3 linked regions of the Arabidopsis thaliana genome follow. The protein of the gene in region 1 interacts with the protein of each later gene in a pairwise test. Each region holds a gene or a part of one and is shown in the gene's direction. Other genes may lie near its edges.

What was found.
Region 2: the proteins of AT4G14225 (region 1) and ERF6 interact in a two-hybrid assay, tested with the Arabidopsis thaliana proteins (one large-scale study listed by BioGRID).
Region 3: the proteins of AT4G14225 (region 1) and AT2G33350 interact in a two-hybrid assay, tested with the Arabidopsis thaliana proteins (one large-scale study listed by BioGRID).

Annotation. Positions count from the first base shown.
Region 1 is NC_003075.7:8,197,028-8,199,863, forward strand, and holds AT4G14225 (A20/AN1-like zinc finger family protein), read left to right. Parts: upstream 1-1,749; coding exon 1,750-1,951; intron 1,952-1,999; coding exon 2,000-2,175; downstream 2,176-2,836. Other genes in the region: RHF1A (RING-H2 group F1A), read left to right, coding at 1-271, 610-717, 797-1,094, 1,196-1,213; AT4G14226 (uncharacterized protein), read right to left, coding at 2,398-2,565. UniProt on the Arabidopsis thaliana protein: May be involved in environmental stress response.
Region 2 is NC_003075.7:9,752,196-9,755,941, reverse strand, and holds ERF6 (ethylene responsive element binding factor 6), read left to right. Parts: upstream 1-1,780; 5' UTR 1,781-2,120; coding exon 2,121-2,969; 3' UTR 2,970-3,118; downstream 3,119-3,746.
Region 3 is NC_003071.7:14,133,460-14,137,742, forward strand, and holds AT2G33350 (CCT motif family protein), read left to right. Parts: upstream 1-1,682; 5' UTR 1,683-1,743; coding exon 1,744-1,818; intron 1,819-1,905; coding exon 1,906-2,652; intron 2,653-2,788; coding exon of another isoform or gene 2,789-2,791; coding exon 2,792-2,989; coding exon of another isoform or gene 2,990-3,031; exon of another isoform or gene 3,032-3,065; coding exon 3,066-3,194; intron 3,195-3,269; coding exon 3,270-3,377; 3' UTR 3,378-3,702; downstream 3,703-4,283.

The DNA of each region.
Region 1 (2,836 bases):
GCTTTGATGAACAATTCTTGAGGCATCTTACTGAAGCTGCACATAGACGTTGTTTGCTTCGCAGAAGGGATGGTCAAATATCCTCTAGTCTTGTTTCGTCCAGCGATCCCACTACGATTCATCCTACTGATTTGGTCAATCTTTATCGTCTCTCTGCTATTTCCCATGTTGAACATCAAAACTCAAACCCTTGTCCAAGTCCTGGCTCAATGACTCCATCTCCCGTCTCTGGTCATTCTTCCATTCCTGCAGATAGCAATAACGGATCCAGGTATTGACATACACATAATCAAGTCTGGTTTATTGATAACGAGCTTTCATGATTTATTCGCTTTCCATTTGCTTGTGCTGTCTCTATAACCAGCTTTCATGATTTGTATGGTTTCCATTTGCTTGAGCTGCACAATGCAGATGCTCTTATACTTCCTGTTTCGCTTAGTTACTGGGATTATCGTCTACTGATAAATAATTTAGATGGCTCTGGAATTCTAGACCATGTCTCTTTATTATGCAGCTACTTCTTGGAGAATTGGTCAAGCCTTTAAATTGTTTAGAACTTACCTAAACCATATGTAATATATCTTCATCTTTTCTTGTATCTGTCATCAGAATCTCTCCTGGCCCTTCTCCATCTCGTTCATCTCAAAGTCCAAAATCACCTGAAGCATCCTCGCTTCCGGAAGCCATTAAATCGAAACTAGCTGCTGCTTCTGCAAAGTATGGCTATCTCAATTCCTCTTCATTTGTTCAGAAATTGGTTATAAAAACTGACTGGGACATACATGCATGCCTCCAGGTACAAGGAATCGATCTCTAAAAGTAAACAAGGTCTTAAAGAGAAGCTACTTGCTCGCAATAACTCAGTGAAAGAATTGAGCAAAGGAGTGCAACGTGAGATGAATGCAGGAATAGCTGGTGTTGCACGAATGATCGAACGCATGGATTTTTCTTCAAAACGTTTTGGAGGGTCTGCTCATGTATCAACCTCCACTGCTACTGCTTCTGGATTCAATTTCTCATTCAAAGGGAAACGTGTAGAAGCCAATTCTAAGTCTAACAACAATGGAGACAAAACCGAACCCCAAAAGCTGCAGGTTTCAGACTTCTCCCGGTTTCTTGTCTTCTAACATTTGTATCTTTAAAACATAAAGCTTTTTATGGGTTTTGCTAATGAGAATCGTTGAATTCATCTCAGGGAGGAGAAACGTGCTGAGGCAATCAGAAAAATGGAGAGAGGCCTTTAATGCAAGCGATGTACGTTTCCATTGAATCAACTTACCCGTTGGTCTTCGCATCCTGCATTGTTCAGAGCTCACGGTCTCGTCTCTCGTCTCTCTGTTACCTTTGCGATGCGTACTTTTAGATGGCTAAAATAAGCAACTGAGTAATAATTTTATTACTCGATTTTGACGGAGCCAAAACTATAATATTTATTAATTTCAAAGGATAATGTTTTATGTTTTTTCACTAAGAATTGGATCAGTCCTAATCAATATTGCACTATGAATCTATTTATAGACAAGTCCATAAATAAAATAGGAATTTTGAAGATAAAAACCTAATTTATATATGACATAAAATACCTGAATACTGGCAGAGGAAGGCTTTCAACAGCTCTATAAAAACTCAAGTCATACAAAGTTTTGAGACATAAGATTAGATGGTGAAGAGCAAAAACAAATAAGAAGGCCAAGCCAAAGTACACAAAACGTTGCAAACATAACACGATTGTACCAAAACAAGAAGACAATGACGGGAGAACCTTCTTTATGCATTAGGGGGTGTGGCTTCTTCAGCACGTCACAGACGAAGAACCTCTGTTCTAAGTGCTACAACGATTTCTTAAAGGACGAGTCTGCCAGATACTTGGCCACTTTCAACGTCAACACGAAAGCCGCTGAAGAGGTCACGGCGCAAGAGGCGACGGTACTCGGTAGTAAAGGCGGTTGTGGTGAAGAAGAAGGATAAGATTATAAGAAGAGTAGTAGTAGATGCAAAGCGTGCAAGAAGAAGGTGGGGTTGCTAGGGTTTCACTGTAGATGTGGCCACTTATTCTTCGCGTCTCACCGTTACCCGGAAGAGCATTCATGTCCATCGGATTATAAATCTGCCGCCATTGACGTCTTAGCAAAACAAAACCCTGTCGTCAAGGGTGATAAGCTCTTCAGACTTTAGTCAACCCTTCGATGCTTGTGTTTTTTTCTTAACTTTTTTTTCTCTGCCATTGGTATTAAATAAAATAATTTAGTTCTTATAACTTAATTACATTGTGTTCGATTAGTGAGAACGACAAATTGTTAGTTTGAAACTAGAATATTTATTTTTCTAGTGATTACTCGTTCGAAATATTCGTTAAAACTTGACGTTGAGCGAACATATCTATAAAACAAACAAGATTTAGTCGATTGTTGCTGATTGTCCATGGGAAATTTGTTTGAGTAATGGAAGCATTAAGGCCAAAGAGTTGTTCATCCACGCCCTCCACTTTCCACTAATCTTCCGGGTTGTGTCCAGAGAAACTTCAGGGTTCTCAGCTTCTGGATTCTTACACATAATGAAGTTCATGGACCTTGTTGACCCGATCCTAGTGCATGGATTCAGTGCTGAAATTTAGATAAAGCAATGACGTTAATGTAGAAGTAGAATTATGATTAAGTAGACCTAGGCACCTTTTTTTTAGATGAAATATTTTTGCAAACGTTTATCTCTTTTTATAACAAAAAATTGTAATCATCATTTGTTCTAAATGCAAATGACAGACTCAAAGAAAAAACCACACGATTGTGTCTCACGTTGATTTGGAGAGTATGGAGAGTAAAGTAGGAAAGAAGAGGTG
Region 2 (3,746 bases), 1.6 Mb from region 1:
TATTTACATAATCGAACTTCTTCACTGACTTTTTTTTAAATAAAAAGAATCTAACTGACATCCTCTCTAGACTCAGTTAAACAAAGAGTCTAGAAATTAGTTTAAACTCAAATACGTAACATAAGCCTAGTTTTGGAAACATGTGGACCTCTAGGCTCTAAGTTTTCATTTGTTGTGGATTCTGGCATTTGGCTGTTTTCTAACACACAACTCTGGTGTAACGGTACCATTATCCCAGTTTAAATATGTATAATGCATGTTTATATATATATATATAAAAATTAAAGACTAATGATAAGAAGAAATCAATCAATAATTGATTTTTTAAGTACTAGATTTTTTTCTTTCAGTTTTTGACATCCTAGATTTCCAGAAAAACTTGAAAAACTATAGCTAACATGAACGAATATAGCAAACATTTTTTTTTGTAGGAACGAATTAGTAAACATGAATACTCTGTAATTATTGAGAAGTTAATTATGGATTCGTCTGGGCAATACCCATTGATATTTCCCTTGAAACAAAGATATTTGTAATAAGAACATAAGTACTGGACAGACACACAGAGCTGAACTAGACATGTAAATTATTTACAAATGTTTTAAATAAGTGAAAACGTTGATTTGAAAAATATATTAGAAGATTCATTTAAACCTACATCTAGGATAAGCCTTGAGCAATATGTTTCATATATATAGTATAAATTGTCATACTGATAGAAAATTGCATATGTGTGTGTTAGGCTTTGTAAATTAGTTTCAAGTATGAATCAATATCTATGATGAAGTAAGCACATTCGTACGAAGACGTAAAATGGATATATCACGTTCGAAAGCAGCAACCAAAGCCAAAAGTGGTCACATGGTTTGTTGTTGTAAAATATATATTTTTGGTTATAATTATTGTAGAATAATTGAGACTAGAACTTAATTAGTATTACGATTCCGCTAATTACGCAGCCCTTATCTTTCGAGACTATAACTTTAATATTACGATTCCTCTGATAGTCTAATTATGCATGCATTTTTGTGTGTTTGCGTTTTAGTTTATGTTTTATACGTAAGGTAATATCTATTCACTTACAAATGAAGCGATAAGCTTATAATTTTGTAGCTTGTACCCGTAGACACAATAAAAATGTATATTTATCGGTGTAATGTTTTACTATGTTCGGCAACATTTTAACAACACTTTAGTTTTCAGTGATTATATAACAGCTAGAAATGAACATATATATAGTGTTGATCATTGAAATAAAAACAGCTTTCTGGTCTGAGATGTATAAAACAAAAATAATGGATATTTTATCCCGAAAGATTATGTAGAGATTGGATGAACAAATTACTGGTTGAACTTGAAATTATTGGACTTTTTTTTTTTAAATGTTTTTGGGCAGCTATACGAGAATTCCATGGGTCTTTGTCCACAAAATGTTGGCGACCATACGAAAACATCGTCGACATTCGACAAAGAGAATCTAGTCTTCATAACTAAAATATTTTTAATCCAAAAACAAAAATAACATCCGACGTACGTGAAGTAAAACCAGTGTTTTTCTTCCATCAAATTTTGCAACTATCATAAGTTTTTATATAAAAACGTGTGTTTATCCAAACATTGAGTTGATACGGCCGCTAAATTTTGATATTGCAAATGCATGCATGCGAAGAATTCTCACAACGAGTAGTAAATTAATCAAATATTAACACGAAAGGTACTTTATAATAACTATTACTAAACCGTACTAATATTTTGATAAACATGAATCGATAAATTCTTGTCTAATCATCTGCCAAAGAAACCCAATATTAGAGCGCAGCCTAATTAAAATATTTGTGTTTTGTTTTTTTACCCCAGCTGCCATTGATGAACCACACGATCAAACCGTTGACGAGGGGTTTATAATCTAATCAAACGGTGTAAAACCGGTGAAACACGCGTGTACATACACCATCCCGCATTTGATAATTTTAGATTTTAAGTTTAAAAAATCCTGAGGATGTTGCCTTGAAAGAGTCTCTCATTGACTTGACTCTTTCCTATAAATACACCTTTCCACTCTCTCTTCTCCACTGTCAAATCAAATCCCTCTTCCTCTTCAATTCTCTGTTTCCTCCAAAATGGCTACACCAAACGAAGTATCAGCTCTTTTCCTCATCAAGAAGTATCTCCTCGACGAATTGTCTCCGTTGCCTACTACTGCCACCACCAATCGATGGATGAACGATTTCACGTCATTTGATCAAACCGGTTTCGAGTTTTCTGAATTTGAAACCAAACCGGAAATAATCGATCTCGTCACTCCCAAACCGGAGATTTTTGATTTCGATGTGAAATCTGAAATTCCATCTGAATCGAACGATTCCTTCACGTTCCAATCGAATCCTCCTCGCGTTACTGTTCAATCCAATCGAAAACCGCCGTTGAAGATCGCACCACCGAACCGAACCAAGTGGATTCAATTCGCAACCGGAAATCCTAAACCGGAACTTCCCGTACCGGTTGTAGCAGCAGAGGAGAAGAGGCATTACAGAGGAGTGAGGATGAGGCCGTGGGGGAAATTCGCGGCGGAGATTCGAGACCCGACTCGTCGTGGAACTCGTGTTTGGCTCGGGACGTTTGAGACGGCGATCGAAGCGGCTAGAGCTTACGACAAAGAAGCGTTTAGACTACGAGGATCAAAGGCGATTCTGAATTTCCCGCTTGAAGTTGACAAGTGGAATCCACGCGCTGAAGATGGTCGTGGCCTGTACAACAAACGGAAGAGAGACGGCGAGGAGGAGGAAGTGACGGTGGTTGAGAAAGTGCTAAAGACGGAGGAGAGTTACGACGTTAGCGGCGGCGAGAATGTTGAGTCAGGTTTGACGGCGATAGATGACTGGGATTTGACGGAGTTTCTGAGCATGCCGCTTTTATCGCCGTTATCTCCACACCCACCGTTTGGTTATCCACAATTGACCGTTGTTTGAATTCTATTTTTCTGTTTGGGTCAGCTTGTTGTATGCTGACGTGGAATTATGCTATATCTTTTGCTTATTTTATGTTCACATTCGAGCAAAATTTATTCATTCGTTTATTTGTTTTTTAATACAACTCTTGATATTTCTAAATTCTAACCAATCACCTTATTTAGCGGCTACTGAGACAAAAATCGCATGTAAAGGCGAATCAATATGGAAAGAACAGAGAACACATAACACGAAGCTCCGATCAAATGACTTTTTATCATAGAACGTATTATTTTTCAATGGCATGTAATATGCTCGGATTTATTACCGTAACATCTTTAGCAGTCTCGATTATATCCTATTTGTGACTTAATATTTGAAAGCTCCATGACTCTTTTTTTTTTGCATGTATAAACTCTGACTAATTGACTTTTATAATATCTTGTTTTCTATAGATTGTTTCATTTGATTCATTTCTCATTTGTGACTTCATTTTTGAAATATCTATAAATTTGTAATCAATAATTACAATTAATAAATTAGTTTGGCGGAAAAAGCTCTAATCTTATAATATGGGAATCACGTATATATATTACAATTTCCATATTTTTGCATGGTAATATCTATGACTCTTTTCCTTCTTTTTTTTTTCTTTCTTTAAAACAAAAATGCTATGGTTCTTTTTGCATGGTAAAAGCTTTCCATTTTGATTTTTATACCATCGCCTATACGTCGATCCTTAAGAGTTTCTCTCATCCAATCTTAGACTTTTATACCACAAATCAACTTTTCCCTATA
Region 3 (4,283 bases), on another chromosome or scaffold:
GGGCTTAATTTAGGACGATTTTCAGTCAAAAACGTCAAAATCCACGGAACAAGAATTGGGTCAAACTCATTGACCGGTCTAAATAGTTTCCTCCTACGTGAGATCCTTTACCCACGTCAACACCATTATATCTACGTGGGCTTTCCACGTCATGTGAAGAGGAGAATCGAGGGTATCACATTTTTGCATCAAGTCCACGCTGGAATATATTATAAAAATTATGTGAAAATAATTTGTACATACACTGAAACACACATGCATTAGTTTAGTATATACAAATATATACATACACATAAAACCAAAAGTATATATATATATGTATGATTGTTACGTGAAACTCCCATAACCTCTTTTTTTCCAGAAAACTATAAGAATTTGAATTTCTTCTCTGTCCAAACAGAAGAACCTTTGTTCTGTTTTTAATTCAATTACCTCTTTGTTTTTTCAGTTTTTGTTGTTTTTTCCTCCCAATATTTGAATTTCTTCCATGGATTTTCTTGTTCATCATACATCACTCATTCCAATATTATTCCACAAATCATCCTTGAAGCCTCGTTCATTAATTTTCTTGCTATAATTCATATTTTCTCGGGAATTTTCTTTATTTTCCCAGAAAGTTTTCGCATTAACATTGGAGATATACAAAGAACACAAACATGTTGCAAGACATGATCTCGTCTCACTCTCACGATCAGCTTTCCATCGTAATTCTCTTCTCATTATTGCTTTCATTTTTATTCATGCAATGCGTAGATGTTTTTGTCTTTGAAATTTTGCTTACATGTATAGATCATATAAACTCGAGTCTAATCTTATAAACTGATTAATTTTTATTCCGTAGTCTTTTATTCGGCAACTACCCTATAATTTCAGCTAGTTTTTCTTTTTTGGTGTAACGTCATTTTCTTCTACTTATATTCCATTTGATCTTCTTATAAATTGCTTCATTCTTTTCGCTTTTCTTTCTTTGTTATTCTCTCCGCACTTCAATTTGTCCTTCCATGCGATTTTTTTTTGAACAATCATTATCATAATTCTCATTGGCATACGATTATTACTTATAAACCAATAGAAAATCGTCACATGATATGGAACAATATTGTTCTACAAAATAACTGTAACCATAATTCACTATATCTATCGTATTTTAGTATAGATTTTTATTCTCATCAAACGAAAAATGCTAGATTTAATCTCTCACCTTGGATTTTATGCAAAATCTACATATTACGTGAATTTCACTAGGAGCATTGTTTGTTATCATGATGGGTTTGTATATGATCATGATCATAATGGGTTTCACACATGTTCTGATATTTTATGAAGTGCCCTTTACTTTTTCTTTGTGGGAAAAAAATCTGGATGTTGGTTCATACCAGGCAATTTTAAATTATTTTGTCAATACGAAAAGGAAATACCAGAATCAGAAAACTTTCCGTTTATAGAAACTCCACTCTTCTTTACTTTATCTTTTTAGCTATTGGAAGTAATTGGAACACTTCTTCTTAACATGTCACATAAAAGAACAGATGCATTTAATCTCTCTTGTGTTGTCCTCAACAAATATTGATAACAAACAAACATTGGATTTGATCAAGACACCAAAATCTTTGGAGTGTTTGGATGTCGAAAAACAGAATCAAAACATCTTACAGATTCTTAACATAGTTAAGCCAGAACAAAATTACTTAAGTATAAATAAATTTCTCTTAAGATTTAAGAACTAATATCTTGTAGCTTCTTATGATTTCACCAGTTCTAATTTCTTGTGACTCAAGCCAAAACCTTTGTTACCTTTTTTTGATGCTTGGCTTTAACGTAATCTCTTCAAAAGATCTTGGTTCATTTACTTTCCATGCTCGATCTAATCTTTGAAACTAACTATTGTTTTTATTATCTTAACAGGATGATATCACGAGCCCTCTTAGTGCTCAGATCTTCGATTTCTGCGATCCACAACTCTTTCAAGAAACCTTTAATCAATCCTCTGAAGTCACCTCTACTTCAAACATTCTTGAGAAATCCGGAAGCTTCCATTCCAACACTAACACCACCACAACAACTGAGAACAGTAACAACAACAACAACAACAAGAACACAAACCTTCAAGACGATGAAGATGACAACAACAACACGGATCTGTCCATAATCTTTGATTCACAAGAAGATTTCGAAAACGATATAACGGCTTCAATCGATTTCTCATCATCTTCACTGCAATATCCAGTCATCGATCATCTCCTCACGGCAATAAGCCAAGACCAGTTTGATTTCTCATCAGGTCTCCAAGTTATTCATCAGCCTCCTAACATTTCATACTCTGGAGATCCTCTGTCTCTATCGGCGATTTCCTCTCTAGCTCCTCCTCCCTTACAATCAGGGGTTTTCGAAGAAGATTGTCTTTCTTCAGTCCCAAGTTACAATCTTGGTTTGAACCCTTCTTGCTCTTTCTTCCGTTCGTCCGGTTTACCGGCGTATATGAGTACCGGTTTATTATCTGCTGAAAGTAATCTCGGTTATCTTCCCGGGAATATTCATGTGGGATCAGAAATCAATAAGCCACATGATCCACTGATGGACTTTCAAGCTGATAATGGTGGTTTTTTTTGTCCGGATTCCATCAAACGTATGTTTAATCCAGAAGATCTCCAGGTAATTGAGTTTTTGTTACAAATATTTTCCGGTTAACGTTTGGTTATCTTTAAGAACCGGTATGGAGCTAAGATTTCCGGTCACAAGACCGGGTTGGTATTCTGATGTGATGCTAACCGGTTTAATTTTGTTGAAGAAGGCACTTGGTGGTGGCGCCGAGAACCAGAGCCACTTGGTGACACCTCAAGCTCATCCAGCATTAGGACCGGTCGATATAAACGGTTTAGAAGACTCAACGTTGAACAAAGTTGGAAAACTCTCCCCTGAGCAAAGGAAAGAGAAGATTCGTAGGTACATGAAGAAGAGGAACGAAAGGAATTTCAACAAGAAAATCAAGGTTCGGTTTTTATTAAACCAAACCGGACTTAACCGTTGTTAAATGTTGTCCCAATGATTTTTTTGGGGGGTTGTAGTATGCGTGTAGGAAAACATTGGCAGATAGTCGACCAAGAGTTAGAGGAAGATTTGCAAAGAATGATGAATTTGGTGAGCCAAATAGACAAGCTTTTTCAAGCCATCATGATGATGAAGATGAAGACGATGTAAGAAAACCGGGTTATTTTAACTCGATTTATATGAATTTATGTGAAAACTAACTAAGCCGATTGGGTTTACAGATGGGAGTGAAGGATGAGGAACAATTGGTAGATTCTTCAGACATTTTTGCACACATTAGTGGAGCAAATTCCTTCAAGTGCAACTACCCAATCCAATCTTGGATTTGAGTTCCAAGTGCAACACCACATATACCTCATGTTTTAACATGAATCTTATAATAGTTACACAAATAGTATTGCTATAGAGTTATGACTTGTATACTTAGTTTTGTCATGCCCCCAACAAGTTCTGTGACTTCTGTCAAAAAAATAAATAATCTAACTCGTATTGAAAATAAATAATGAATAATGGGTTTAGGCAGGTTTGGATGAATAAATCAGTAGTGAGAATAAGGTTGTAATTATGTTACCTAGCAATTTGGAAATTTTGTAGATACTATGATATGTGATGTCTTGTATTTGATAAGTTGAGTTGAATTTTTTATCACCTGAACACTCTATATATATAATCGTCATATGAGTTATTATTTTGCTTCTCAAATCATTCAGATGTTCTATGCATACAAAATGAATAGACCGGTCAAATTGTCATGTCTAACACCTGGTTAGAAGATCTAATTAGTAATTAGATAATAACTATTTGATCCAAAAAAAAGGATAGTAGTAACTATTTTTAAGAAAAAGATGAAATAATTGGGCTTTAATTTGTTAGTATCAAAATGTTGGACTGGGCCAACAGAGTGTTACAGATCAATTATATAATTAAGGCCTCCCTTGTAGGCTACCATTTAAGATTAATGTAAAGCTTAAACGATTGACAACTTGATGCATGCGCAATAAATGATGATCGTACCATAATTTCATGGCCATATATAGTTGCTAAACTGAAAGAAGAACAAAAAGGTTTGTAGTAACTTTGTAATGAAATAATTCGATATTTTATTATGTTGAATAGTTCTTTTTGTTCGTTTCTGAAAAGTGAAAACCCATTTGCTAATTTTTTTTAACTTCTAAGTTCTAACCGAGGACTGTTAAAATATAAATGGCGACTAAGTCAATAACTTCGAACCAAAC